2 linked regions of the Macaca fascicularis genome follow. The protein of the gene in region 1 purifies or fractionates together with the protein of each later gene. This does not show direct contact. Links are inferred from orthologs where the notes say so. Each region holds a gene or a part of one and is shown on either strand. Other genes may lie near its edges. The genes, in order: MTMR9 and ATP5IF1.

The links.
Region 2: the proteins of MTMR9 (region 1) and ATP5IF1 purify together in Homo sapiens (affinity purification with mass spectrometry; 5 studies listed by BioGRID and IntAct, with this or other methods). This does not show direct contact. The link is inferred for Macaca fascicularis from reciprocal best matches to the Homo sapiens genes MTMR9 and ATP5IF1.

The regions. Positions count from the first base shown.
Region 1 is NC_088382.1:9,609,838-9,613,653, forward strand, and holds part of MTMR9 (myotubularin-related protein 9), read right to left. Parts: intron 692-3,816; coding exon 518-691; intron 1-517. UniProt on the Homo sapiens protein: Acts as an adapter for myotubularin-related phosphatases. Increases lipid phosphatase MTMR6 catalytic activity, specifically towards phosphatidylinositol 3,5-bisphosphate and MTMR6 binding affinity for phosphorylated phosphatidylinositols.
Region 2 is NC_088375.1:206,826,901-206,831,036, reverse strand, and holds ATP5IF1 (ATPase inhibitor, mitochondrial), read left to right. Parts: upstream 1-1,345; 5' UTR 1,346-1,375; coding exon 1,376-1,462; intron 1,463-1,552; coding exon 1,553-1,644; intron 1,645-2,915; coding exon of another isoform or gene 2,916-2,919; exon of another isoform or gene 2,920-3,056; coding exon 3,057-3,198; 3' UTR 3,199-3,320; downstream 3,321-4,136.

The sequences.
Region 1 (3,816 bases):
CTTTCAAGAGACCACCATTACAAGGTAGTTATCTTAACTCCTTGTTTAATCCTGACTCCAGTGTTTACTAGAGTTGTGACTAAATGACATGAGCATCACTCTTCTCGCCTTTGAAAATAAATACGTCTGCTCAATTCACCTTTCACATGGAAAGTTGGTAAGAAAAATTCAAGTCTTTTATCATTATTCTGCGCAGAGAAATTTCTCATTTTTCTACCAGAAGAATGTTGCTGTAAGCATCAAATAAACACTAGTTTCCTTTGTATAGTGTCCTGGAGATAAAGCTATCAGGGCTTTTATACGGCTGAGCAGGATCATGGGAAGAATTCAGCATCACATCCTCACCACAGAAAACACTCTACTCCTGATTCCCTAAAGCTTACACTAAGGAAGCCCTCGTGGTGGAGACCTGGACAATCATTTCAGTGAACAGACAGATAGAAAAAGGGAACATTTCTATGAAAAGATCCCCAAGCCAAGCCTTTCAGTACATCAAGCAGTAGTGCTGTGCACTTACCATCCCATTTTTTTTGTGATAATAGCTTAGTACTGGGAAGCGCCCTCCATGTCGAAATGTAGCTACCTTCCGAAGCGCTTCATCATCGATGGATTTGGGCACTGTGACAATTGGCGGGTAGGAGGGACAGACAGCAAATTCCTTATTGACATAGCTTAGCCTCCATTCACTGGTCTGAAAAACACAAAATACTTCAAAGCTAAGCAACTATCTCAATGTCACAAAATAATCTGAGAAATTTTAAAAGACCTTAGAGGTCAACTTTCACTGATGAAGAAGCCATTTCTCAGGAATTTAACAGGAGGATCTCTAGCTTATATATAAGTAGCTGCACAGAAAAGGAGCTCCACGGTTCAGGGCCAGCTTCCTGCATTCCTAGGTATCACCAGTTCCTAGAAAATTCTTTCTCATACTGAGCAAAACTTGTTGCTCTGTAGCTTCCTCTATTGGTTTTTACCGTACTTTCAGAAAACACAGGACAAGTTCCCTATTTCACACCGTATCCCATCAAATGTTTGAAAGACAGTTGTTTCTCCTTAGTGTTCTATTCTCCAAGTTAAGTATATTAAGCACATCCACAATTACCATGGCCAACGTCCCACTTCTTCCTTTTCTGGGTCCCATTTAGTTTGTTAATGATCCTCTAAAAGCACAAGTAAGACTGTAAGACTCCAGATAATGCATCCCCAGAACAGATGAGAACAGAGCTACTATCTACGTCAAGTCCTTTGTTCTTTTCTTGTAAAAAAGGTAAAAAATGTACTAAGATTGGTAAAACCTTTCTTAAAACAGTAACAACTCAATACTAAGGAAGGTTAAGCTTAGGAGTCAATGAAATAATTTCAAACTGAATACTCTAAGGACTAAAAGTATATAATATAAAACTATCAAATGACAACTTATTTGAAACACCAGAACTGAAAACACCTTGAAGACTGTCAAAAGGTTTTACAGTTAAAAAAAAAAAAAAAAAATCAAATTATATGTAAATTTCAATATGTTCTGTATATCTGAGTTGGCCTAACCATGGGTTACAAGAGCAGGAAGATAAAGCTAAAAAGTATGTTAGATGTACTATAGGACAAGATTATTACTTTAAAAAAATGATTTTATAAGATACAGTATCACATTTTTAATTATTTTTTTTCACTTTTCGAAGTTATTTATGTTACCAGTTTTAAAAACATAGTTTCTAGGCTGGGCACAGTGGTTCACACCTATAATCCCTGCACTTTGAGAGGCCAAGGCAGGCAAACTGCTTGAGTCCAGGAGTTCAAGACCAGCCACGGCAACATGGCCAAACCCTGTCTCCACTAAAAATGCAAAAATTAGCCAGGCACAGTGGCACGCGCTTTTAGTTCCAGCTACTTAGGATGCTGAGGTGAAAGAACACGTGAGCGCAGGAAGTCGAGGCTGCAGGGAGCTGTGATAGTGCCACTACACTCCAGCCTGGGCAACTAGAGTGAGATTCTGTTTCAAAAAATAATAAATTAATTAATTTTAAAAAACACAGTTTCTAAAGATTTATTATTTTTTTAAAAATGTAGTTATCTGTTCCTTGCTAGCCCATCCCAATTTGCTTTCCCCAAAGACAATCATTTTCAACATTTTTAGCTTTTTTGGTGTTTAGCTTTACATTTCTAAATAACACGATTATACTGTTATTTCTTGAATTTTCGCTATGATATCTTATTTATTGATTTCCTACTCTGGAGAATGACAGGGCTCTCCATTGATCTGCAATGCGGCTTCTGTCGGTCCCAATGTACTGTGCTCTCTATCCTGTCCCACTAGTCCACTTAAGTAACTCCTAGAGCTTTTACAATAAGTTTGGTATCTAGTAGGCTAAGTCTCCTCCTCTCACCTTTTTGTACTTCAAAGAGTAACTTGGCTCCTCTTGGTCTTTTGGTCTTCCACCAGGTAACTTTTATCAAATTCAATGTAAAAACCAACTGGGGTTTTTATTAAGATTGTATTGACTTTATAAATTGGAGGGAATGAGTTACATCTTCAGAATATTGTTTCTCTATCCATGAGTATATTATCTCTCCATTTATTTAAGCTTTTAAAAATTTTTCCATAAATTTTTATAATTCTCTCAATAAAAGTCTTACTATCTTTTCTTAGATATAGTCCTAGAAACCCTATAATCTTTGTTGCATTTTAACTGCATCTCTTTAAACTTGTGTTTGGTGTAGAGAAATGCCTATGATCTCAAGATTCTTTCCTTTTCCTATAAAGACAAGCATATAATCAATAAATAATGACAATTTTGCTTCCTTCATTTCAATCCCTATACCCTATATTTTTCCTTGTTGTCTTATTGAGCTGACTAGGAGTAGTGATAATGGACATCCTTGTCTCATTCTTGAACTTAGATAGAATGATACAAGATTTGTTTTTGTTGTGTTTTTGGTTTTGGTAGCCATCCTTTATCAGATCAAAGAAATTCCCTTCAAATCCAACTCTAAGAGCGTTTAGCATGAATAGATATTGATCAAATTTTTTTCCTCTGTTAATCTAACACCATGCAGGCAATTTGTCTTTTCTTTAATTTTGTGGTATTTTCTTTGCTTTATTGTTCAGTAGCTGAACAACAACACGTCTAAAGTTTTTTTATTATCTTGTATGGTATCTGCTGGCATACCTTAGCTTAAGGGTTCAGTAACTTTTACTGATTCTGGAGAGTTATCAACTATTATGTATTTGAATATTGTCTTTCTTCTATCATCATCAACTTTTTTTCCTTCTTCTTCTTTTTTTTTTTTTTTTTTGTAGACAGGGTCTTGCATCTTGCTCTCTCACCCAGGCTGGAGTACAGCAGCATGATCACTGCTCACTGCAACCTCAACCTCCTGGGCTCAAGCAATTCTCCCACCTCAGACCCCAAGTAACTGGGACCACAGGCATACGTCATCACACCTAGCTAAATTTTTTCATAGAGATGGGGTTTCGCCATGTTGCCTAGGCTGGTCTCAAACTCCTGAGCTCAAGTGACCTGCCTGCCTCAGCCTCCCAAAGTGCTAGGAATATAGGTGTCAGCCACCACACCCAGCCTCTATCATTTTTTATCCTAAACTCCCATGCGATAAATATTGGATCTTATTCCTTTATTACGCATGCATGTGTCTAACCTCTCTGTTTTTCCATCTTCCTTCTCTGTTCCGTATTCTGAGTAATTATTTCGGATCTATATTCCAAATCACTTATTTTCTCCTTAGCTGTTTCTAATCAGCTACTTAACCTTTGCATTATTCTTTTATCTTCTTTTCAGTCAACAAAACTTATAAAAAATAAAC
Region 2 (4,136 bases), on another chromosome or scaffold:
TAACTGTCATATGACATAGCCTTAAGTCCTGTTTATAATTTGGTACCTTATTTACACAAAGAGCGCAGTTTGCTAAGCTTATGCTCTTTATTTCAACATTAATGCTGGTCAGTTGTTGTGCTTAAACACTAAAAGGGAGGGGACATAACAAGATGTGCTTCTGACCTCCCTTACTGTCATGGCTGGAAATTCAGTTTTTTGGGTTTTGTTTGTTTGGGCTTTTTGTTTTGTTTCGTTTTTGAGACCGAGTCTCACTCTGTTGCCCAGGCTGGAGTGTGGTGGCACGATCTCGGCTCACTACAAGCTCTGCCTCCCAGGTTGCAGCGATTCTCCTGCCTCAGCCTCCCAAGTAGCTGGGACTACAGGCACGTGCCACCACACCTGGCTAATGTTTGTATTTTTTAGTAGAGACAGGGTTTCACTATATTGGCCAGGCTGGTCTCGAACTTCACCTTGTGATCCAACCGCCTCGGCCTCCCAAAGTGCTGGGATTACAGGCGTGAGCCACCGCACCCGGCCCAGTTTTTTGTTTTGGGGGGTTTTTTTGAGACCAATATCACTCTGTCGCCCAGGCTGGAGTGCAGCGGTGGCGGGATCTTGGCTCACTGCAACCTCCGCCTCCCGAGTTCAGGCCGATTCTCCTGTCTCAGCCTCCTGAGTAGCTGCGATTACAGGCGCATGCCACCACACCCGGCTGATACTTGTTTTTTTAAGTAGAGACGGGGTTTCCCCATGTTGGTCAGGCTGGTCTCGAACTGCGGACCTCAGGTGATCCACCCACCTCGGCCTCCCAAAGTATTGGGATTACAGGCGTGAACCACCGCGCCCGGCCAGAACACTGGCACTTCTCATAACAAATGAACGCGATTTACGTATATCTAAGCCGCAGCACATTGGACGTCGGTATCCCGGACATCAGCATCCTGGACACAGCTCCCAAACCCCAAATTCCCCCATTTTATTGATGGTAGCAGGCCAGGGAAGGGAAAACTTCCTTTGGGCTTTGAATATTAACGACTTTAGGGTTGAAATCGTGGGCTGGAGGTGAACGCCACGCCTCATTCTGATGGGTCCAAGAGCCGAAATTTCGGCTTCTAGCACTCTCCTCACCCAGCTCTCCAAACTCCCCCATCATTCTTCTTTCCAGTCCTTTGGCCCTGAGCCCTTGCTAGTTGGCCAAGAATAAACTCGTCTCTTGCTCGGGATTCGCTGTGAGCTCCGGGAAGCCCGCCTCCGCTCTCCCGTGATTCGCTACTCCTGTGTTCATCCGCCACTCCGTCGACCAGATTGGGTGCTTGGCCGTCCCCGCGCCATTAGCGCGTAACGAGGTACAGCTTGCTGCGGCAGAGACGCCAGAGGTGCAGCTCCAGCAGCAATGGCAGTAACGGCGTTGGTGGCGCGGACGTGGCTTGGCGTGTGGGGCGTGAGGACCATGCAAGCCCGAGGCTTCGGCTCGGATCAGGTACGCTGCGGCAGTGTCCGCTGCTCCAGCCCCGAGGGCGGATCCCATCTTCGCTTCCCTACTTTTATCAGTGTCCCTGTCTCTCTGCAGTCCGAGAATGTCGACCGGGGCGCGGGCTCCATCCGGGAAGCCGGTGGGGCCTTCGGAAAGAGAGAGCAAGCTGAAGAGGAACGATATTTCCGGTGAGGCTCACCGGGTCCCAAGTCCAGCCCTAGATCTCCCAGGGCCTTCCAATCCTTAAACTGCCAGTCGCCCCACCCGTTTCCTTGGTGCCTTGGGCGCCCCATCCCCCAACAGAACTCCCGGGCCCCAATCTGGTATACCCTAACCCTTGATGTCCCAAGTTGCCACTTACAGGGCACTCCCAGTTCCCTGCACAACAGTTTCAGGCCCCCAAACCATTTCTACCGGCGGGTCTCCAAAACATCCCACGGCTCAACTCCTCCTTTATCATTACCATCTCCCGCGTGGAGTTCTCCTCGGGTGGTGCGAAACGCCCCCAGATTCTTCGCACAGTATCTAGATCCGACCGTCTAACGTTTGCCTCCCAGCCTGACTCCCGCGGCCCTCACCCACCTGTCACCCCCTCTACGCTCTCCTTCCTCCCCAGCACGCCTTAGCTTTGCAAGCCTGCATGCATTCAGGCTTCTCAGGTGTTTCTAGACCCCCGACTCCGCAAGAGTGAGGATCATGGGAGCTGGTCATGGGAGCTACTTAGGGTTGGACTACACCATCTCCTAAAGGCTTTTGCCCTACTCAGCCCAGCCTAGATCTGTGGATTTCCCGCTCCTGCTTAGAAGTATGGAGTGGGCTGGGCCTCCCTTTACCAGCCCTGAGTTATCTTTAACTGACTTCTGTCCACTCTGGAGAGCAGTGAGGAATTAATCTTGCTTTTGCTTGTCCTTTGGCCTTTCACTTCTGCCTTCTGTTGAGAATTATCACCATGACACCTGCCATACCGTATAGAGAGCCAAGGTACTGCTGTTAGAGACTATCTAATTGATCCCCTTCATTTTGTAGTTAAGGAAAACTGAGGCCTAAATGTGGCCAAACCAACATTGTAATCCAGTCCCTTCTTGGTACCTAAATTGAACTGCCAAATACTGCCCATGCAGGAGACCTTTTATTGGCCTTACAGCGGGCCATTCATTTCTATAGGCAAAGAAAGCTCTAGACAGATTGGAATAGGAAATGGATATTTGCCTTTTAACCACACCCCTTTGTCCCCATTTTGTTCCTTTTTTTTTTCCCCCCTAAAGGGGTTCCCTGGGTTGTTCCCCTCATAAGGTATTAGGGACTTGTGTCACATCTCTCTGGAGTTTTCTATTTTAAGGAGGAATCTGAAAGCAATAAGATCTTAATGATGGAATTTAAGCCACTAGCACCAGTGAAATCATTTTGGTCTTCTTAAGATGACTACACCTCAATTTAAGATGGGTTATTCTTTCACTAGTTGAGGAGTAGAAGAGGATGACCAGCCAGACTCCCATGGAACTGGGACTCCTATTCCTTGCTTAGACATTACGGGTTATGCTTAGAGATCTCTTTGGGGTGAAGGATTGAAATTAAACCCTGAGCCACCGTGTCCTTGTAGAGCACAGAGTAGAGAACAACTGGCAGCTTTGAAAAAACACCATGAAGAAGAAATCGTTCATCATAAGAAGGAGATTGAGCGTCTGCAGAAAGAAATTGAGCGGCATAAACAGAAGATCAAAACGCTAAAACATGATGATTAAGTGCACACAGTTCCCCATAGAATGGCACATGTCACTGCCCACTTCTGTGTAGACATGGTTCTGGTTTAATTAATATTTGTCTGTGTGCTACTAACAGATGATAATAAATTGTCATCAGTGAACTGTGTTTGATGCCTTCTTCTATCTGGAAGAGATAGACGGAAAGACACTAATGGACTGCTGAAATGGATTAGAGGGGTCCCTGCATCCAGGAGCCCACAGAAACGCAGTGTGATAAGTGCTATGAAACAACATGAGTTGGGGGGATAGGTGTGACACAGACAAGGTACCCCCCCAGTCTAATTAGAGGTGTTCAGAGAAAGCTTCTTGAAGGATAAATCCCAATCTAAAGCATAAAGATCAGGAGGAGCCTGGAGATCCGAAGGAGTCATTGCTTCAAAAGATACAATTGGGCCAGGGGCGGTGGCTCATGCCTGTAATCCCAGCACTTTGGGAGGCCAAGGTGGGCGGATCACCTGAGGTCAGGAGTTCAAGACCAGCCTGGCCAAAATAGTAAAACCCCGTCTCTACTAAAAATACAAAAATTAGCCAGGTGTGGTGGCATGCACCTATAGTCCTAGCTACTCAGGAGGCTGAGGCAGGAAAATCAGTTGAACCTGGGAGGTGTAGGTTGCAGTGAGCTGAGACTGTGCCACTGCACTCCAGTCTGGGTGACAAAATGAGACTCCGTCTCAAAAAAAAAAAATACAATTGAAAGTACCATCAGTGGCCGGGCGCGGTGGCTCAAGCCTGTAATCCCAGCACTTTGGGAGGCCGAGACGGGCGGATCACGAGTTCAGGAGATCGAGACCATCCTGGCTAACACGGTGAAACCCCGTCTCTACTAAAATACAAAAAAAATTAGCCGGGCGAGGTGGCGGGCGCCTGTACTCCCAGCTACTCGGGAGGCTGAGGCAGGAGAATGGCGTGAACCCGGG